Elephas maximus indicus: one gene and its partner. The protein of the gene in region 1 interacts with the protein of each later gene in a biochemical or structural test. Links are inferred from orthologs where the notes say so. Each region holds a gene or a part of one and is shown in the gene's direction. Other genes may lie near its edges.

The links.
Region 2: the proteins of DRAP1 (region 1) and DR1 form a complex in vitro, tested with the Homo sapiens proteins (2 studies listed by BioGRID). The link is inferred for Elephas maximus indicus from reciprocal best matches to the Homo sapiens genes DRAP1 and DR1.

Annotation. Positions count from the first base shown.
Region 1 is NC_064825.1:129,056,200-129,067,686, forward strand, and holds DRAP1 (dr1-associated corepressor), read left to right. Parts: upstream 1-6,461; 5' UTR 6,462-6,584; coding exon 6,585-6,626; intron 6,627-6,861; coding exon 6,862-6,934; intron 6,935-7,024; coding exon 7,025-7,118; intron 7,119-7,437; coding exon 7,438-7,557; intron 7,558-7,670; coding exon 7,671-7,764; intron 7,765-8,015; coding exon 8,016-8,104; intron 8,105-8,457; coding exon 8,458-8,563; 3' UTR 8,564-8,700; downstream 8,701-11,487. Other genes in the region: C7H11orf68 (UPF0696 protein C11orf68 homolog), read right to left, coding at 4,587-5,346, 6,046-6,164. UniProt on the Homo sapiens protein: The association of the DR1/DRAP1 heterodimer with TBP results in a functional repression of both activated and basal transcription of class II genes.
Region 2 is NC_064821.1:148,821,017-148,831,999, reverse strand, and holds the start of DR1 (protein Dr1), read left to right. Parts: upstream 1-6,761; 5' UTR 6,762-7,487; coding exon 7,488-7,707; intron 7,708-10,983. UniProt on the Homo sapiens protein: The association of the DR1/DRAP1 heterodimer with TBP results in a functional repression of both activated and basal transcription of class II genes.

The DNA of each region.
Region 1 (11,487 bases):
GCAGGAGCCAGCTGGGGCGTGCACACACGTGTGTGTGTGTGTGTGTGTGTAGGTATGTGTGTGTGTGGTGTGTGTCTCTGTGTGTGTGTGTTGGGGAGGGGGTTGGCAGACAGGAAAGGGAGGCTCTGACTCCTGAGCAAAGGATTGAGGTTTGGAATGGAGCCAAAGCCCCAGAGGAAGATTTTGGCGGCAAGGCCTCACTGTCCTCTCCTGGTCTCTGAGGGTTTGGCAGATTTTTCCACAGAAGCCAGCTTTCTCTCCTTATCCCTGGGGGAGAGGAGCTGAAGCTGAGTGGGTGACCTGTTTGTCCTCTAGAGTCCCCAGGGGCAGAGTTGGGGCCCAAGGGTGGAAAATCCCCAGAAATCAATGCAAACCACTCCAGGGAGGTCTCTGATCCCAGGGTCCAGAGCTGCTCGGGGAGCAGGGACAAAGCTCCTTGTCGCGGGGGTGTGTACTAGCACTCATGGGTGATGTGGTGGCTGCCGGGTCATGGTTAGCCTTGACCTTCATCAAGTTATTTAACCTTTTCTGCCTCAGTTTCCTCATCAGTAAAATGGAGGTTGTAAGCACTGAAATGATAATGTATATAGAGTGCATAGGCCGTGCCTGGCACAGAGTAGGTCTGGGTACACATTTGCTCTTATTATTTAAGCCTCGGTTTCCTCATCTATAAAATGGGTGAGGGGAGGATGCCTGAGGTGCCCAGAGAGGGTTCCAGCTTCTGGTTTTTATTGCCTGGGAAGCTGCCCCCTAAGCCCTGCCCTTTGCCTTCCCCTCTGTCCCTCTGCTGAGACTGGGGGTCTTCCTCGCCCTGCCAGGAGGCCAGTGGCCAGGAAAACTGGGATTGGGGGATTGTGGGGCCGGTGTCTTCAGGTTGCCTCTCAGTGCCTGAGGGATGCGCGTCAGAGAAGTGGGGAGTTTCTTGCCATGATGAATCAGCCGTGTGATCCAAGCCTCATCCCTGCCAGGGCCCCTCCCAGCGAGCGGGAGCTGGGTGCAGCTGCCCTGCCGGGAAAATCCCTGAGAACCCCGCCAAAGCTCTGGCAGAAGCTTTCTCCCAACTCAGCTGTTTCCTGTCCTCTGGAGTCAGCCCTGAACGTGGCTGGAGTCAGGGGTTGTGCAGATATTCTCCCCCTCCCAGGCCAGCCACTCTGGCGACTACCCCCTGGGGTCTGGGGGTTCACAGTGTGTGTAAGAGGGAGGAGAAAGAGTGGGGAATCTCCTCATTTCTCTTGTCTCAGCCATTCCCCTGGCTTTTTAGAAGGGAGCAGTGCACAGGGGCTTGTCCAATTCACCCATGTGGGAGGGGGCTGGCCAACAGGGTAGAGCCCCCTGCCAGGCAGAGGAGGTGGGCTTCAGGGAGCCCTTGGGCCACCAGGGAAGCAGCCCCCACCGTAGGCCTGAGAGACCTTTCCTGCCCAGGTAGGCTTAATCCCTGCACTGTCCGGGCCTCAATTTCTTAATCAGCAAAATGGGAGTCTTCTGGGCCCAGCGTCTCTCCCACTGAGTCCTGAGGACGTTACCTCAGTGCTGTACAAACTGGATCCTAAGTCCTTGCTGGGGCTTATTTGTTCTCGCCACCTCACCCCAGCAGCACATCCATGTAGCGGGGGCTCGGTCATGCATCAGGTGCCCTTAAGTGCGATAGCCTGGGTTCAAATCTTGTCTCTTCCACTTACTAGCTTTGTAACCCTGAGCCAGCTACTAACCCTCTCTGGGCCTTAGTTTCTTCTGCCAAATGGCGACAACACCAGAGCCCAGTGAAGCTTAAATGAGATAAAGTAGGTAAACACTTAGCATAGTGCCTACCTTTTGTTATGATTTCCTAGAATGAGGAAACCGAGGCCCGGAAACAGGGTGACTTGCCTTCAACTGTTCAGTCAACCAATGTTTCTTGGCATCTGCGCTAGGCCAGATCCTGTGCCTGACACCGAGGACACCCTGGGAGGTAAAGTGTGGCCGCTGTCCTCAAGGCACCACAGGTACACAAATGAGAGCCAGAGGCAAAGGGACTGGGGGAGGTGCTTCTGCAGCTGGGGTGAGGGTGGGGCGAGGGTGGCCAGGAAAGAGAAACCTCTGGGAGGATGACACCTGAGGATCAGGCACGTGCAGGGCCATGGAGAGCAAGGGCACGTGTCCAGGCAGGGACGTGAGAAAGCCCGGAGTGTGTGTGAGAAAACCAGAGGCAGCTCATGTTTCTGGGACGAGAGGCTGAAGCAGGGAGTGGAAGCGAGACTAGGCTGAAAAGTCTTCAGGGGCCAGATTGGAGTCGTCGGCACACTTATTCATTTATGGAGAGGGTGCTCCAAGGACAGGGCTGAGATGTGGACACCATTCCTGCCCTCACAGACTGTGGGGCACATAGTCTGGGCACATGGCGTAGGGGCCAGCGGGGCGCTAGACATCAATCAGCAATCGCACAGTAACCACACGGTCATACCCAACATGGTGGTGCATGGCAGGTGCTCAAGCAGAAGGCACAGCCGGAGGCCCGGGGCTACGTGCCAGGGGCTGAAGGAAGTAGCAATTGGCGCCAGTGGGCTGAGCACAAGGCAGATGGGGTGCCCAAGGGAGGCTGGACAGTGGGTGGAGATCGTCCTGCAGGCTGTGGGGGCCATGGCCCCTCTACAGAGAGACCAATTGACAGAGCTGTGTATGTGGGTGGCAGTGAGGGGTTGGGGTACAGGAGGCAGTCTGGGCTAGAGGGAGAGGAGGGGATGAGCGTGCTAACTGCTCAGTGAACCAGGTCTTGTTGACGCCATATGGGCATCTTAACAGGACCCATGAGGGCCTGGCCAGGACCCCCAAGCCTTGGCCCTCTTTGGCCAAGGCACTGTGGGCCAGAGGGAGCAGGGCACCAGGCTCTAGCTCAGAGACCACCCGTTCTAGGGACTTCCCAAGGCTTGTACCCGGGAGTCGGGTGGGGAGGAAGCTGAACCAGGATCACTTGACTCATCCACTTCCACCCAGTCAGCCGAGTGGCATCTCCGCTTCCCTGCTCCAAATTCCAATTTGGTGAGGGTGCTGGAGGCTGACTCAGCTCCGGCACGGCACGAGAGCAGTGTCCCAAGGGGCTCCCTGCCAGATAACCTGGCCCCCGACCAAGGCCAGGGCCAGGCGAGGGTGGGGGCGGGGGGTTGGAGTCAGGCTCCAGAGGCTCCAGTAGCCTAGCACAAGAGCTCAGCAAGATCACGGGAGTGAAAGTGCTTTGTGGGTTGTGAACAGCTAACCGTGGGTGAGGTTTCCTCTTAGAGGCAGAGGAGGCAGGGGTGGGGTGCAAATTCTAGCTGTCTCTGCTCAACTCACCACATGATCCTGGGGAACTCCCTTTCCCCTCTGGGCCTCAGTGTTCCTGACCACAGAATGGGGCCAATACCTCTTTCAGAAAGACGTGAGAATTCAATGATGCATGTGGAAGTGCTCTGCAAACTGTCCAGTGGCCCCTCTGACAGGGCAGTGTGAGAGGTGAGTATAAATGGGAGACCTTCCAGGACCATCACTGAAGGTTGTGTAGGTTGTTCCCTGCACTAGTGTGTCCAGCCTAGGACACTGAAATGCAGCCCATTCTCCATTCACCAAACCATGAGGCCTGCCCAGGCTGCCTCTCCCAGCGGGCATCTTTCTTTAATATGCCCAAATACATTATGCTATACATATACAGGCACATATATCACACCTAAAAATGAGGCTAATAGTGGCCCCTTGGGCCTTTCTGGAAGGGCCAAGCCCTTGCATTTATAGGAAATCACTGATTCTGATTTTTGGGATGGGACAAGCAGGGCTGGCTTCACAGAGGTTCTGAGAGGAGCCGGGCCTTGGTGAGGCATGTCTTAGTACCGTGGGCAGACAGGAGGCCAGGCCTGGGGAGCAGTCCTCTCCTGGCTCTGCATCTCTTCAGCAGCCAAAGGAGGTAACCACCAATACAGCCTTAAAAAACACTCAAGACACAGACCCAAGCTGGGCTTTATTGAAATGCCAGGAGCAGGCACGTGACAAGATATGAGGAGGGGAGGAAGGTGGTGCAGGCTGTAAATCTCACGGAGGGGCAGGCCCGGTGACCTGGGCCCTGGTGTCCCCTCTCTCTGCCAGGGGCTGAGTGACACAACTACTTCTCTACCCCCAATGGCATGCTCAGGCCCGCAGGACCCCTGCCCTGTGGACTTAGAAGGCTCCAAGGGGAAAGACTGGAAGCACTGAGTTTTCTCCCTCGTGAAGGAGGAAGGGAAAGGGACAGTGCAGGAGGAGGCAAGGTGCAGCCTGGTGGGGTGACGGGGGTGGCCAAGGACGGCTCTCCCCCAGCATCTGGCCCCGGCCTGTGGTCCTGGGAGGTTGAGGGGAGCAGCAGCGAAGAGAGGCTGAGGGCCCGGCCCTCAGCAAGCCAGAGCCCCGCCACTTGTGGGGGCTGGCATTAGTCCTGATCAGAGGGCAGAGATTCAAGGGAATGAAAGATGCAGGCAGTTTCCAAAAGAGCTAACCCAGTCCTCAAAGCTGGGGCCTGGCCTCCTTGGGGTGACAAGGAGGAAGGTGGGAACATCCATACTGGCATGGATGGTCCATCCCAAGGTGGTCTTGTTTGCCTGGCCCCACTAGGTCAGTTCCACATTGTTGGCTCGATCAAGCACACGAGAGCCGCGGGCATCACCTCCCAACTGGAAACGGCTCTCGTAGAGAGTGGGGCAGAGGTGCCAGCGGTTGGCTCGGTAGATGCCCAGGTAGGTGTAGACATCAGGCTTGTAGGTGAGCAGGCACTTAATGCCTGCAGCCCGGATGGCTGTGTCTGCCTCCAGTACACCCAGGCGGTCCGTGAAGTCATCTGTGTAAACACAGATGACCTGGCGCCCACCCTCCTTGGCCCGTGGGCTCACCTTGGCCACCTGAAGCTGGCCTTCGACCACGGCTCGGGCAATGCCAGCCCAGGCATGGTCCAGCTTGAAGCCAGGTGTCAGGTGCATCAGCCACTTGCCTGAGAGCACCTGGTGAGTGATAGCCAGCTGGCGCAGGGTACTGGGTGTGATGGGCCGCCCGCTAGTCTGCAGAGCCTCCCAAGCTGCCTGCAGACCCTGTACATCACCAGAATTGGGGAGGTAGCCCTGCCCATACACTGCGATCCAGCCCACAGGCTCTGAGTTGGGTGAGCCAGGGTCCCCATAGCGGGTAACTTGGGATGGTGGGTATTTGGCCAACCAGGCATCCAGCTCAGTGGCGGGCGTACTGCGGGCATCAAACACCAGCCAGGGGTCCATGTCAGCTGCCATGGCCTCTGCAGCCAAGTGCTCAGCGGTAAAACCATCCTCCCGGCCGCCTGGAGAGTCCTCTTCCTCTGGCTCCTCACCGGACTCCATCCTGCTGTGAGGGAATTGAGTCAGGGCAGGTCTGGGACAATAACTACCGATAGCTGGGCCCTAACAGGTGCCAGGCACTGGCCTAAACTGTGTGGCCTTGGGCAAGACTTAATATCACTGTGCCTCAGTTACTTCATAACGGAGTAACAACCTTCCCTGTCTCACAGAGCTGCCGTGAGAATTAAATGCCTGAGGTGCAGTAAGCGCTACATAAGTGTTACTGCCATTGTCATTACTCTCATTGACCTAGAGACAAGAAGACTGACGTTCAGAGAGAAGGGAACTGCCCAAGGTCACACCTGTACTGAGTGGCAGAGAAAAATGTGAATCCAGGGGTGGAAGCTCCCGGCCCCATCACGCCTCCTGGCCCTATCAAAGCGCTCTTCGTCTGGTCTCAGCCCGGCAGGGATCCGGAGCTCTGGATTTAATGGAGGGAGGCACATTCACGCAGCACCCAAGGCGCGCCCTGTGGACCAGGCCTCCCGGTGGGCGTCGTCGTGCCCACTTAAAGACGAGGACACTGTGGCCCACGGAGGCAGTGACGGGACCGAGGCCGATGGGGCGGTGCCCGGACTCGAACCTTGGCTGGTTAGAGCCTGCCGGAGGGCCAGCCGCCGGCCCCGCCGCGCCCGCCGCCATTAGCACCCGCAGACCGACCAAGGCCCCCGCCCCAGCCCTACCCCTCCCGCGGCCCCACCGTCACCTCCGGCCGTCGCTGCGTTCGGCTCCGGCCCAGCCCCGGGCGCGGTTCCGTTCCTGCCGGGGCTCCGCGCCGCCACCACCGCGCCCCGCCCCCGCCACGGCCGCCGCCGCCGCCGCCATCTTAGCGCTCGCCGCTTCAACAACAACTTTATAGACAAGCGCAGCCACGGGGCGGGGCCGCCGGGCAGCTGGGCTGGGCGGGGCCGACAGGAAGGGGCGGGGCCATCGCGGGAACCAGAGGGGGCGGGCCGGCCGGGGGGCGGAGCTAACGTTCGATCTTCAGGCCTTGAGGGCCGGAGGGAGAGGCGGGCCGGACGGCCGGAGGAGACGCGCACCGCCCCGGAGGGTGAAGGGGAGGGCCCTGTGCGCTGCGAGCTTCGTCCTGAGCGGCGGCACTAGGACCCCGTGGGCAGCGGCGGGGGGCGGAGCAGGCGGCGCCAGGACCCGGGGGAAGCGCGACGGGCGGGCGGTGAGCAGGCCCGGGGGCCGGGAGGCTGCGGGCGGCGGCGCTGGGCCCGGCGCGTCGGGAGAGGCCCCAAGATGCCGAGCAAGAAGAAGAAGTACAACGCGCGGTTCCCGCCGGTGAGCACGTGGCCAGGCTGGGGTGGAGCAGGCCCGGCTCCCTGGAGGCCCGGCCCGAGCCCCGCTGGGGGGGGCGGGCACTTCGGGCGTCCGGGGGCCCGGACGCCCCGCCCCCTTCCCTTCCCCCTTCTGTGCCCCCCCCTCCCGCGCATTTCTCCCGGAATTCCCTCTCGTACCCCCAGTACCCTTTTTCATGAAGGAAGTGGTGGGGTCCGAACTCTGCCCCTCTCCCCAGGCGCGAATCAAGAAGATCATGCAGACTGACGAGGAGATTGGGAAGGTGGCGGCGGCTGTGCCTGTCATCATCTGTATCCTGCCGGGGGCTGGCCGGTTGGGGGGCGTGGGAGAGGGGGGCAGGTCGGGAATCCCCCTACCATCTTCTCCTTAACACCGCTCAGCCCGGGCGCTGGAGCTCTTCCTGGAGTCGCTGCTGAAGAAGGCCTGCCAGGTGACCCAGTCCCGCAATGCCAAGACTATGACCACGTCCCACCTGTGAGTGGCCCGCGGGGCTGGGAGGGGTCCTGGCCGAGAAGTTCACGAGTTCTCTCTCTTAAGGGGGCTGTACTCTACCTCCTAGGCGGGGGAGCTCTAAACAAGAGGGTGGTGGGAGACGGCTTGGAGACAGTGGGATTGGACCCGTGAAGCAAGGCCTGGGTGTTCCAGGCTGGGGAAATAACCTGAGCAGAGAGCACAGGTTTGGTGGTGGAGACGGGGAGGGAGCTCTTATAGTTCCCCCTTCCCTGACATCCTGGCCACTTCGCTGGGCCCTACCCGAGTACCCTGTCTGAGTGCTGTTTTCCCTCTCTTCCAGGAAGCAGTGCATTGAACTGGAGCAGCAGTTTGACTTTCTGAAGGACCTGGTGGCCTCCGTGCCTGACATGCAGGGGGACGGGGAAGACAACCACATGGATGGAGACAAGGGTGCCCGCAGGTGGGGGGCCAGGTGTCCAGGCAGGGAAGGCCAAGGCCACAGGGGTAGGTGGTGATTGGGGGTGCTTCAGGAGAGGGGAGACCCCTGGGCACATGGACTGTACTTTCCCAAAGGGGCCGGAAGCCAGGCACCAGCAGCCGGAAGAACGGTGGCATGGGCAGCAAAGGCAAGGACAAGAAGCTGTCAGGGACGGACTCAGAGCAGGAGGTGAGGAGGCCCAGCTCTGTCTGGCCCAGCTGTGATGGAGAGGGTGGCACCTGGAAGCCTCAGCATCAGGCTGAGCTGGCTGGAGGCTGGTACCCATCCTTACCAGAAACCATATTACACCTTAGTTTCTTTGTTTGTAAATTGGATCTGTTGGGATCTGTGTCCTGTCCCACCACTCCCAGAGCTCTGGGGTCCCCAGTGATAGGTCTAGACATCCCTTTTCTTGTTACTCTGACCCATTTCCGTTACAGGATGAGTCTGAGGACACGGACACAGAGGGGGAAGAGGAGACACCACAGCCCCCACCCCAGGCCAGCCATCCCCCTCCCCACTTTCAAAGGTAAGCAGCTTAGCCGAGCCAGGAGGACCAGCCCACTTGCCAAGGCCGGCCTGTCCTTCTTGTCCTCTACGGACACTGGTTCTGTGGATTGTAGCAGATTTGGGGGGAACTGGGAGGAACTGAGTTGTGCTCTCAGAAGGCCCCTTTTCCCCCCAGGTGGGGACAGTGGACAGAGCTTTGACAAAGCTCTTTGACCTTCGTTGGGCCTTTCTCTTCTCTGGGGCATGGCTTCCTGTGGGCACAAAGGGTAATGGGCTCCTTGCCTGCCTCTGTAGAGGGTGGGGTGGGGCTCCACAGGCAGGAATGGGCCCAGAGCGTGGTCTGATCAGCCTTTCTTGCTTTCTGCCTCACAGCCCCCCGACACCCTTCATGCCCTTCACCTCGACTGTGCTTCTGCCCCTAGCACCCCCGGGCCCATCAGGACCAGATGCAGAGGATGAAGAGGATTATGACTCCTAGCGCCCCCTGCCCCCCAGGCTACACCCCCTTTTAGTTGGTTTTAGTTGTTCTGGGGGGGGGGGAGAAAAGAAAGCTGTTCTTAAATTTATTAAAAAAATAAAAGGGAACATCGGTGTTTGTTCCAGTCTCTGTCTGGGGCTCTGTGGCCACTTTCCCATTCACCTGCCTTCCCCCCACTGAGCTGGGCCCAGGGGCAGTGGTGGGCTGGGCAGTGGCTGAGTGAAGGGAAGGGAGAGGTCCACTGGAGAGGCCAGAGTCTAAGGTTCTGCCTGGGGCAGGCCTAAAGATGTTGATGAAAGGAAGGCGGGTGGAGCGGCCTGGGGGCTGAGCCAGCAGGTGCTGGGTATGCTGGGGGGCACGGGGCAGGCTCCTGCCCTTTTCTTAGCAATCTCATCTCTTGCGTGGAGCCCACTCCACCCACCTTGGGCTGCTGGGGAGGGCTAGGCGGGATAAGTAATGGGAATGGGCTTTGAAGACCCACTTGCGCCTGGTGTGATAGAGGGTGTGGGAAGGAGCAGCGGCACGGTAGGCATCATCATGAAGGGCTTCGTGCCGGTTTTCGAGCTGGGCAGTGACACAGTTGGTCATTCAACAGGCATTTCTGACCAGGGAGGCTGTGATTATATCTGGTTTTAACAAGTCAATGACTTCCTTGTGGAGGCATCAAGGAGCAGGGAACCCTGCAGGAGGGTATCAAGGGCCATAGCAGCCTGGGTCAGGTGGGGCAGGGGTCCGAAGGGCAGTGGACAGACAGGGCCTCCGTGAAGACCACTGTCAATGGCCGGACATGGGGCCAAGAGGGAGGGAGTTATCAAGGACAACCCCCAGGTTTCTTTCTTTAGCAACTTCAGTGGGGGTGGGGTCTTTTTCCAGCTGGGGGCCACAGGAGGAAGAGGACGATGTGGCCTCGGGATCACAAGTGTGTCTGTGATTAATTGGAGTGCTTATGTATCTTAAGAGTCTCCCGAGGAACAGAACCAGTGAGCTATACATGTATGCATATATATGCACGTTGTTAGCTGTCATTGACTTGACTCTGACTCAGTGACCCCATGACAGTAAAACTGCCCCGTAGGGTTTTCTTGGTTATATTTTTTAAGAAACCAAATTGCCAGGTCTTTCTCCCACGGAGTCGCTGGGTGGGTTCAAACCACCAACCTTTCAGTTAGTAGCTGAGTGCTTAACCTTTTTCACCACCAGATCTTATTCTGTATATATACACGGCTTTACTTCAAGGATTTGGTGCACAGGATTGTGGTGGACTGACAAGTACAAAATTCGTGGGTCAGGTGAAAGGCTGGAGACTAATGCAGGCTTTAATCTCAAGATCTGTAGATCAGACGACAGAGGGCAGAGTGGAGAGTGCATTCTGCCCAAATACCTAAAATACTTACAGTCTAAAGTCGTTGCTGTTGCAAAGGATCTCTTTAAAGAGTTGAAAAGCAAAGATGTTACCTTGAAGACTAAGGTGCGCCTGACCCAAGCCATGGTATTTTCAATCGCATCATCTGCGTGCAAAAGCTAGACAATGAATAAAAAAAAAAAAAGGAAAACCGAAAAAGAATTGACGCCTTTGAATTGTGTTGGTGAAGAATGTTGTGTATACCATAGACTGCCCAAAGTAGGAACAAACCTATCTTGGAAGAACAACCAGAATGCTCTTCAGAAGCAAGGATGGCGAGACTGCATCTTACATACTTTGGCATGTTGTCAGAAGGAATCAGTCCCTGGAGAGGGCATCATGCTTAGTAAAGTAGAGGTCCGTGGAAAAGAGGAAGACCCTCAACGAGATGGATTGACACAGTGGCTGCAACAATGGACTTAAGTATCACGATTGTGATCATGGCACAGGACCGGGCAACGTTTCGTTGTGTTGTACATAGGGCCACTATGAGTCGGAACTGACCCAGTGGCACCTAACAACAACAACAACATAGTCTAAAGGCAGAACACACGCTGAGGAAACTCCCTTTTCAACTGATTGCATTAAACTAGATTATGGAAAATGATAACTACGTTAGATTGCATTGGAGGAACAGCAGCTAGTCTAGTTTGGCCAAACCACTGGGAACCATAACCTAGCCAAGTTGACACAGAAAATTAACCATCACACCTTGAGACTGCTAAAAGGGGTGCTGTCAAGTGGGCGGTGGACGTGGGAGACAGGTGTGTGAACCATGACAAAGTAGAGAGGAGAGGGACTGGGACAGACACCAAAGGAGACTGAAAAGTGGCCAGATTCCAGGGCCACCAGGAGCCACGGGTGTTGTCACCCAGGTGTGTATGGAAGGAAGAAGAGGTCAGCTGTCAATGCCTTGGATGAGGAAGGTGGCACCTGTGAGGTGTCCTTTGGCTTTAGGGGAAGCATCGCAGGAGCTGCTTCAGTGGGTTGGTGGTGGTTGACTTGTTGATGAGACAGAAGGAGTGGGAGGTGAGAAACTCAGAGGTGAGCGGAAGCAACACTTAAAAGTGAGTTGAGAGAGCAGTGGCTTGGGGTGAAAAAGATGAAGAAGCAGTTTTTTTTTTTTTTAAAATGGCAGAAACTCAAGCTTTTAGAGGAGGGCTGAAGGGATAGGAGGGGGGATAACTGATGGATTGAGGTGGGTGGGGGCCTGGGAAGACCCCAACCCCACCAGGGTGAGGGCAGAGAGCCTGGATTTTGGTGGGAGGCATGAGTGTTCAGTTTTTATCTGCTGGCATCTGACTTCTCTGTGAAGTAGGCAACGTCGCCCCCAGCTTCAGGGAGGCAAAGAGGGAGAAATGAGTTAAAACCGTACTGCAAGCATAGAGTGGGTGGTGGACTGGCCAGGGGTGCTGAAGACTGGGGGCGTATGTTGCTTCTGTCTGCCTCTCATCCACTCCCCCTCTGGTAATAGCACCGCTATTTTGTTTTGGGGAACCATTCCTCTCTACGCCATTCCCAA
Region 2 (10,983 bases), on another chromosome or scaffold:
TCTGGATCAATAGGCAAAGAAGGGAGTTACCATACTGCTGGTGGGCCTGATCCTGATTACCAAAAGGAATTTGGATTGGTGTTACATAATGGAGGTAAAGAAGAGTATGTCTGGAATGCAGGAGACCCATTAGGGTGTCTCTTAGTATTACCATGTCCTGTGATTAAAGTCAATGGAAAACTACAGCAACCCAATTCTGATACGATTACTAATGGCCCAGACCCTTTAGGAATGAAGGTTTGGGTCACCCCACCAGGCAAAGAACCACAACCAGCTGAGGTGCTTATTGAGGGCAAAGGGAATATGCAACGGGTGGTGGAAGGAGGTAGTTCTAAATACCAGTTATGTCCATGTGTCCAATTGCAGAAACGAGGACTGTAATTGTTAAGAGTATTTCTGCTTTGCATGTGTGTATCCAATATTTTTGTTTTCTTCACATATAAAATATAAGATGTAAGTGGGGCTAGTGCATTTTCGGTTGTATGCATGTTAGTTCTATCATGTTAGGTGCAAGTATGACTTTGTAATTGTTTTTATTCAGAGATTATGTATGGTTTGGGGAGATGTGTACAGGTCTCAAGTTGACAAGGGGTGGACTGTGATGGTTAACATTGTGTGTCAACTTGGCTGGGCCATAATTCTCGGGTTTATATGTGATCACTCCCATGATGGGATCTGCTGTCAGTAGCCAATCAGTTGAAAGGGAGTTTCCTTGGACGTGTGGCCTGCATCTGAGGATAAGTGGATGTTCTGGCTTTTCCCTGCTCTAGATCCTGCAGCTGGCTCCTGTTCATCCGACAGCCTCTTCTTGGGATTGAGCTAGCAGTTTACCTGCCAAACTTGGGAGTCATTGATCTTCACAGCCTGTGAGCAAGAGCCCTGCTCTCCAACCTGCTGATCTTGGGTTTATCAGCCCCTGCAGCTATGTGAATTGGGAGAATCCTTGCAGTCTCACCTGCCAATCTTGGGATTCATCAGTCTTCACAGTCTGTGAGCAAGAGCTCTGCTCTCCAACCTACCAATCTTGGGTTCACCAGCCCCTGCGGCTACGTGAATCAGGAGAAATTTCTATCCTGATCCACTGACTTGGAACGTTCCAGATTCTACAACCACATGAGCTGCTTCCTTGACATAAATCTCTTTCTGTTGTTGTTGTTGTTGTTGTTAGGTGCCGTTGGGTCAGTTCCGACTTATAGTGACCCTATGCACAACAGAACGAAACACTGCCCGGTCCTGCACCATCCTTACAATCGTTGTTATGCTTCAGCTCATCGTTGCAGCCACTGTGTCAGCCCACCTCCTTGAGGGTCTTCCTCTTTTCCACTGACCCTGTACTTTGCCAAGCATGATGTCCTTCTCCAGAGACTGATCCCTCCTGACAACATATCCAAGGTATGTAAGACGCAGTCTCGCCAACCTTGCTTCTAAGGAGCATTCTGGTTGTACTTCTTCTAAGACAGATTTGTTCATTCTTTTGGCAGTCAATGGTATATTCAATATTCTTCGCCAATACCACAATTCAAAGGCGTCAATTCTTCTTCGGTCTTCCTTATTCATTGTCCAGCTTTCACATGTATATGATGTTTTTGAAAATACCATGGCTTGGGGCAGGTGCACCTTAGTCTTCAAGGTGACATCTTTGCTCTTCAATGCTTTAAAGAGGTCCTTTGCAGCAGATTTACCCAATGCGATCTCTTTCTATATATATATATATGTATATATATATATATATAATATATATATATATTTATACCTTTACTGGTTTTGCTTCTCTAGAGAACCCAGCCTAAGGCAAATAGCCATTTTATAAATTCACTTATGAAACGCCACACATTTAAAGGGTGCCTCCATTTTATAGATTAAAAGACCGAGACTTAAAAAAAAATTAAGTAACCTATTCTTGCTCACGAAACAAGACTAAAATTGAAGAGCCATGATATGATTTAATCCCATGCAGATGGAGTCCATTGGTAGTGGAAACATTTAATTTGCTCAGCTGCTAGCTGAATAGCTGGAGGTTTGAGTCCACACAGAAGCGCCTCAAAAGAAAGGTCTGGAGATCTATTTCTTAAAAATCAGCCACTGAAAATCCTATGGAGCACAGTTTTACTCTGACACACATGTGGTTAACATAATTTGGAATCAACTCAATTGGCAACGGGTATGGAAGGCCCAGCACCGAACTCAATCTCCACATTGGCAGCGCTGGGGCAGCATAACATAGCTATGAAGAAGAGTTCCTTTGGAGCCAGACACCTTGGGTTTAAACCCTGGTTCTTTCACTTTAGTTACCTAGGCTCTTTGTGCTTGAGTTTTATCATCTGTAAAATAGGAACCATTTATTCACAAATATTTCTTGGTCCCCAGTCATTCTACCTCAGAGTCGTCCTCCAATCTGCTGCATTGCCTTTGTTTAATTTGACATGTTTGATGCTGCTCATCACCAAGGGCTTAGACCTCTCAAAAATGAAGGCTTAAATCACCCTACTAGGCAAGGAACCACAGCCAGCCAGATTGTAACCAAGGAAACCCGGCATAGGTAGTCATGTATACCAGCTATAGCCTCAGGAACCAGAATAGGAAAAAGTGGTCTGCACATTTTGCTGGAATGCCTGAAGACTGAAAAATTAGCCTTACCTTTCCCTTTTAAGGAACCCTGGTGGCATGGTGGTTAAGAGCTCAGCTGCTAACCAAGTTGTCAGCAGTTTGAATCCACTAGCCACATCTTGGAAACCCTGTGGGGCAGTTCTATTCTGTCCCATACGGTTGCTATGAGTCAGAATTAACTCGATGGCAACGAGGTTTTGTTTGTTTCCCTTTTAAAATGAGAACAATCACTGCTGTCCCCACTCCCAGTGAAATTATTTGTAGAGTGTGATGATAGTAATCATAATTTAGTCCATGGATTGAGGACCAGGAGGAGCCACACCTAAATGAGACTATGCCAGAACTAGAAGAGGAATGGATACTTGATATCCAGAGGTCAGGACTAGGAGAAAAGTAACATTAAGACATTCTTTCCACCAGTTGGATGCATCTTTAGGCTGGGTAAGGGTGCAGATGCAGAACTGTTGTACTGGGATGGCAGGGTCATGTTGGTTGGAGGCATTTTTATCATTGTACATAGGGGGAAAAGGGTATGTGGCTTCAGCAACCTAAGAATAGAACACAAGAAACACCTCTTAGGCCAGCTGCACAGTTCACAGTGACAACTCCCTTCCCATCAAAGGGATGGAACAACAGCAAACATCCACACACATAGTTTGCAGCCTGGTCATGCTGAATAACACAGGAGTGGAAATATGATCCAGGTTGGCCAAACACTTACTGCACTAGGAAACTGGAATTTTGATCAAAGAGGCAGAGAGATGGAAAGTTGTTTACATCCCATCAGGAAGACAGTTTATGGATTCCTACTACCGAGTTCTACAGAATTTCCCTGGTTGTTCAGTAATTTCTAAGTTTCTGTGAGATACCCCAGTATCCAGTAAAGTCAATTTAACTAGCAACCAAAATAATCTTAACTATTATACTTACCAGAATAGCTTTCTCTCATGCTACTTCTTCGTATGCTCCTTACCCTACATCCTCTACCAAAATATTGCGGCTCACCAAGAATACCACGATGTTCTGTCTCACTGAGCTTTTGCTGCTCTGCTGTATGAAATTCCCTCCTCCTTCTACTGACACCTCGAAATCTGTTTTTGCATCTGTCAGAACACCTAGTATGTAGGGCTGTATCAGAATTAAATGAAACAATGCCTATGAAAACTTCCCGTACAGTGTATCATTCATAACAGGCACTGATTTGTTTTGTTAGCTTTTTTTTTTAGCTGATTTACTTTTCCAGCATCATATCCCACTACACTAATTCATAAACCCCCCAAAAAGAGCCACTCTAGGCTACTTGATTTTCCCAAGCCATACAATGCACTTTGTGTTTCTTCTTTATTAAAATTCTACTTAGTCTTCATGACTCAGAGAAATGTTGGGCCCTCCATAAAGCCCTGTGTATATCACAATTGGTGTGTCAATCACTCCTTCCTCTGTACACACCATCTTCTGTCTTTATCACAGCATTTTATTTCCATCTGGTTTATATTCTGCCTCTCCCACCAGATTGTGGGCTCCTTGAAAACAAGAAGAGTGGTTTATTCAGATTTATTTCTCCCACATCATACTTAGGACAGTAGACTCTCAGTTGTTGAGTGAATGCAGGAATCAGATGCTGCTTGTCTTCTCTTTCCTCTGCCTACCCGACATCACTTCCTTAAATGCCTCAAACCCAGACATGTGCAAAAGTAAGCACATCTTCTTTAAACTGCTCCCTTTCAGTTTTGCTGTTTTTGTCAGTAACGCTATTCTAATCCCTTCTGCCTTATGTCTTTGGCGTTCTCCTTTCTCTCTCACTCCTGCAAGGAGGGTAGTCTTCTCACTGTTCCCAGAATAATTTGTCTTCACAACTTTGTGTTGTTACTTTGAATACAAATACTTTCTTCCTTTCTCTCCATCTTTCAAAAGCCTGTATTTCAAGCCTCTTTCTTCCCAACTGTTCCAATGGATCCCTGAGAGACTATGAAGGAAGCCCTCTTGATGACCCTTGATGAACCCAGAGCACGAGCAAGAAATAAAGCTTTTGAGGTGTGGGAGTTATTTATTCTTGCAACATAATCTAGCCTATCCTGGCTACTACACTGACCTTGGGTAAGTTATTTAGCCTTTCCAAACTTCAATTTCTTTATCTGTAAAATGGGGATTAAAACAGTATCTAACAAACATGGTTACTGTGAGGATCAAATGAGATAATACAGGTAAAAGCATTTAGCACAGTGCCGAGCATAAAAGAAGTAGAGGATAGATTTTAAGAAATTTGAATTGTTACCAAGTGGCAATTTGTATGTTAGCAACAGAAATGTCAAGCTTCAAATTATGAATGTTATGTATTATTGTTAGTAATTTTAGCTGAAGACCTGGGTATCTATAAATTAACATATTTTAAGATAATTACTATAGCAGTTAAGCCTAAATAATCATAAAAAAATAACTCACAGTACTATTGTTTTCTGTCATATCATGAATTTTTGGATACCATGAAAAAATGTCTGATATATGTACTTTAAGATTCATAAAGCTTATTAAGATGTTATCCTTGTTCCCAAAAGCCTATTTATAATACCAAAAAAACCAAATCCGTTGCCTTCCAGTGGATTCTGACTCATAGCAACCCTATAGGACAGAATAGAACTGCCCCATAGCATTTCCAAAGAGCAGCTGGTGGATTTGAACTGCTTACCTTTTGGTTAACAGCCCAGCTCTTAACCACTGTGCCTCCAGGGCTCCTATTTATAATAGGGCTATATTATACTATAAATAAATATTTAAATATGGAATCCAGGTTAGCATATTCATTACATATCACACTGCTATTTGTATTTAATTAAATTTTCTCTCTGAACTAACAGTAAACTGACTGACAAAACCACTTCATGAAGATGTTACACCTGAGCCAACAGTTCCACATTCCTATTTTGAAGAAAAATTTAAAATATTGTTTTATTAAGTAATTTTTTTGTCTGGACTAAACTTACTAGCACTGAAAATCAAGCGTCCACACTTTAGAAATCAAAGATCCCGGCACATGTCTTGGAGAAAATGTTGAATGAGAAAACACAGTGTAATAAACTGAAAAACACCTCCAGATGCCACACACCTAGGATGTGCTTTTAGACCAAAATAAAACCTTTTTAAAAAAACATTTTAAACAAGTCAGTTGCCTTCCAATGTATCTGATGAACTAAAGTGCCAAAACTGATTTAAATGGTATCTTTATTTTTTAGAAATCTCTACACCCAATAATTTATAATGTAGCCTCTTCTTCCAAACGACAGTATGACACAATTTTTTAAATAATGCAATTTTTGTGAAGAATTTGACACCAGTTTCTATTACGGGTCACCTTGGAGGGGCAAAAATCAGAGTTGTGTTAAGATGCTCTACAGTACTTTTTTTTTTCATCTCCAAAAGCAAACGTGCAATCCGACGTGAAAAATGGCTACGTTAAAATCTCGTAATGTGGCTCATTGTACGCTAGGCGTTTCCACTACGATGGATCTGACTTCTAGTTTCTCGCTTAGCCTCCAGTAGTGACTGGGCAAGTTATTTCTGAGTATCTCCTTTCCCATAAAAAACGAGAAAATGGGTGGAGGACCATAGTGAGCTGTGATCCAAATAACGTCCATTAGAAATCTTCAAAAGCTTTCTTTCCGGACGATGCAGACACCAGGCATACGGGGTTCTGCCTTCCCCACATCCTCAGCCCCGAGTCCAAGCTCGGGTAGTCTCCTCTTTCAAGACCAATTTGGTCTCCTTAAGGAAAAGCAGAGAGTTCTTTTTAAGGAAATCCGGGGCTCCTTTGTCCCCCAAAACGGCTGGGGGAGGGTTTCGAGGCCTCCGCTGGTGGTGGGAGAGTAGAGACGAAGGAACTGAACTCTTCTCTCACATCCACCCGCCCTACCCACCGTCTGCGGTCCCAGCCCTGGAGCAAGCGCGCTCCCAGGGTTCCCCGGTACCGTGAGGCGCGCGCTTGCTCGGCGACGGCCCCAGTGAAGGCGCGGGATGCTGGGCCGCACGCCGGACCCGGGACAGGCGGAAGCTACTGAGAGACCCCGTGCTTCCCGCCGGGGCGGGTGGGGGAAGGGTGGCAGCCACACCCGGAAGTCGGTCTGGTAGGGTGGGGGAAACTGGTTAGAGCCGAGGCTTCCGGTGGCGCAAAGGGTGTCGGGAGCTGCTCCCGGCAAACCTTCTTCTCAGGCTTCTGGAGGGGCCGCGGTTGGAGCCGCTGCGGCTTCTACGATCTGCGTTCGGGATAAACGGCCACGGGGCTGCCACTGCGGCTTTCCCTGTGCTTTACCCTGTTTGTATTCGTTCCCAGGCGGCCCCCGCAATTCCAGCAGCGGCCGAGGCCGACATGTTGTGAGGCGGTGGCACGGGTATCTGAAGGATGGTTTGGCCGAGGCGGCGGCAACGGCTCCTGGCGGGGGTGGCGGCGGCTCAGGCTCTGTAGAGCCGAGCTCGCTGGGTGTACGTCCGGTGCCTCGGGGAGGCCAGTGCCCCTGGATTTTGCCTCTGCTCCGGCGTCGTTGGGGTCCGGTTAGGCGACAGCTCCTGCCCCGCTGAGGAGACACGAAGGTGGTTGCCCAGCACCTCAAATTTCCGGATCACGCCAAGCTTACCCTTCCTCGGCCCGGCAGTGCTGTCCCCAGAACACTCAGCCCTTCGACTTTCCTACCAGCCTCGCCCTAAATCTCACACACTCGGGTGTTCCCCGCCTGGCCGAGCCAGCTCCTCCCCCCTTATTTTCTGCACCCTCTTCTCAGAGCGCCCCTCAGGGTCACTCTCCGAAGGGGGCCTTTTCAGAAATCTCCGTGGAGTAGTGGACCAGAACTGGGGAGTTTTTAAAAGTCGGGTGCGAGAGATAGGAATGTACGATGGCTTCCTCATCTGGCAACGATGATGATCTCACTATACCCAGAGCTGCTATCAATAAGATGATCAAAGAGACTCTTCCCAATGTCCGGGTGGCCAACGATGCCCGGGAGCTGGTGGTGAACTGCTGCACTGAATTCATTCACCTTATATCTTCTGAAGCCAATGAGATTTGCAACAAATCGGAAAAGAAGACCATCTCACCAGAGCATGTCATACAAGGTAAGTGGTACGTGTGGCGTTTGGATTAAAAGAGGGGCCGGGGGACAGTCTGCTAGTCGCGTGACCCGTTTGTGTCAAAACCTTCATTCCTCTTCCTTGGTAAGTACTGTTGAGTGAAGAAGCCACACGGGCAAGGAGGCAGCTTTTTCCTTAGGAAAATCCCGTTGTGTGTTCTTGTGGTACTTGGCATCCGGCCGATGCAACTAAGGATTGCAAGCATTTAGGTCACCTCACAGCCCCAAAAGATCAGTTCTTGGTAATGGTCTCGATTTACAGCCGAAGCAACAAGAATTGCCTGCCCTAAGTTGAACCCAGATAATGACATTTGAGAAAGGAAGCCAGAAGTTCTCCCTTGGAAAGTTAAAATTCAGACAGAGGAACTTCAAGCAGGAGTGGAAACAGCACCCGTTCTCCCGCTCCACCTATTCAGTAATGTAGAGGAAAGGGTCAATATTCTGAACACATGAATAAAAAAATTCTTAACAAGAATGTATTCAGCTTGGGAAAGGTTATTGGTGTTTAGTAAAGGCCACTTCTTTTTATTTTTCGTTTAAAATAGTTTGATGGTTGTTCATCAAGTTTCCAAGAGTTTCAGTTCTATTATGTAAGGAAAGAGTGAATGTTCCTGCTTTGTTGTGTGGAAATAAATTTGAATGCAACTAAAAGCTTGGATTGGAAGATTGTGAGCAGTTTTTTTCATGAAACATTTCCCTGTACTTTCCTGCTGTCATTCCCATTTAGATGTATACATTTCGTCTTTTACTGAATAGCACTTTTGGAAAATTTAAGTTTTTTTCCCCTCTCGTTTTGGAAAGCATTTAGTCCAGTAATAGGGATTTGGGGGACCATATTCTGATGGTTTCAGGGATGAGAGGCGTATTTACTAGTCATCATGCTTTGGGAAACACTTTTTGTGATTTTCACATGTACTGTTACCCAGAAAGTTGCATTCAAATTGAGGTGAAAACTTGCCTTAAAATCTTAACAGTCTCTTGATTGCTTTTGAAGTCAGGAAAAGAAAAGTTTTAAGTGGTTAATTTAATCATTTTGGTAAGCAGATGGTTGTCTGGCATTTCAGTTTTATAATTTAACTTTTTCAAAGGTGACTTCCTGTTCTACTGAAGCAGAGAACACATCTGCTCATATTCACCGTATCCAGTATTTTACTGTCAATATTGACAAAGGAACTAAAAGATTCATTTTTGATCCTTAACTGACCTGCTGAATGTAGATTTAAAGCATACTCTGCTATTTCAATACATAGGGATTCTTAAAGCTAGTATTTTAATTTTTTTTCTGCCTTTTTGGTGTGCTGAATGTTCTAGCAAGTAAAATGAAAGGCAAGGTGTCTATTTTTGTCTGTTTTTAATTTTACATTGTATGTGTGATTGCTATCATGTAGTCTTTCACAAGAGAATCCCACACAGATAGCTATAATTTCCTTTTACAACTCATTGAAGAGAAAAAAGGACCTTTTATCAACATTGCCTTTCTAATGAAAATTGCAGAAGATTTCAGTAGGATATGCTAAAACATTTGTTTACACCAGAGAAGTGGGGATCGTTCCCAAAATCTAATAACACATTACAACTGTCTTCTTGGGGAGAGTTTATTCTATTCTAGGATATATTTAGATTTCTGATTGACATGATGGAATAAAAGTGCAGCTGTAGCAAGCAGTGTGCTAAATAGTTCAACTTTGGAATATGCTAAATTCTGTGTAATGTATGAATCAGAAAGTTACAGTGAAAGCATTTTTCCTTGTGTACTGAGGGTCATTTATTAATTTTAAAGTATCATGTATTGACTGTTACAGTCTATAAATTTACCTTTTTTTTTTTTAAACTTGTATCATTGCTATTGTTGAGTGGATAAAGGCCCACATTTTTGCCCAAGAATTCTCCCTGGTTTGAGGAGTAGCTTTTAAACGTTTATAATTTCATTTGAACCTCATTTTGCCTAACTATTTTAAAGAATTTTTGTTTTGAGTGGTTAAAAATTTTTTAAGGAAATGTTTAGGGTGTGTATAGTTTAGGTGCTTAAGGTATAGTTTTACAGACTAACTTTGGAAAATTAGGTTGGGAAATCATGTAGATGGGACATTTTTTACACTTTTGTGTCAGCGCTGGTTTTTTAGGACTGTAGGATATATATATATAAAGTGCTATCGAGTCGATTCCGACTCATGGCAACCCTATGCAATGCGTAAGTAAAATAATAATGTAATTTTTAAAATGATATGATTCTAACATGTTGAAGCTTGAATTTTTAGTAATAAGTTTAATGAGCTAGACTTTGCATCAGTACATTTCACATGTTCACATGTCACCTTGTTGTACCTTGTCAAAGCAAATTAAGCATTCTGAGGCAATTCCGTAAAATGGAAGATAAAGTCAAAGCATGTTACTGCCAGTTTATCTATGAAATACTATAACTTAGTTCCCCCCCCCCCCAAATAGTTTACTTATTTTGAGTTTTAAGAAAGAAGATTTCAGATCCATGGACAGAGTTCTAAGTTTTAAAAAGTATTCCTTTTATCTCTTTGCTGTTTTCTGTGAACATTTATTTGTGAATGAGTTCTAACATGTCTCTTGCATTATGGGACAAAGTGACATGGAGAATCCTGGAGAATCCAGAGTTGCAAGCTGTACACTGGAAATTCTTTGGCCTTAGGCAAATCTGTTAGCTAAGGTTTTCCACTTCTGTGTAAATAATATTTAATGGTTTCAGGTGCACCTTGAAATTATTGAGAACCAGTTGGGTTAGAACCTTAAGTGAAATGTGCCACGATAAATTACAATTTTAAAAACTTGTAGTGGTACTGATAAGAATATAAAGCTGAAAGCCTGTTACATTACATTTAATCTTTACATCATGGTGCCATTTGTAAAACCAAAGTGAAAATGAGAATATTTTAGGTGGTATTATTTTCTTCCTGCATTTTTTAATCTCTTTCTACTTTTTTTTTTTTCACATTTATGAGAACAGTAACTGAAAGTAGTGAAAGCTTGAAAAGGTCTCTGAGAGTTGGCTTCCTCAGCAGTTAAGTTGCTCCAAGCTATCTATGATGGACTTTTTTTTTTTTTTTTAACCTGTAGTCCTTTGCACACTGATACTTTTGTAAAATACAATAAAAATGGATCTCTAGAAAAATGAAATGAAAAAAAAGACATAAAAGTTAAAATTTTTATTAGATCCAATGGACATAAATTACTCTGCTAAGTTGCTGTGAAAGTTTTTTTTTTTTTTTTTTAATATTTTATTGTGTTTTAGGTG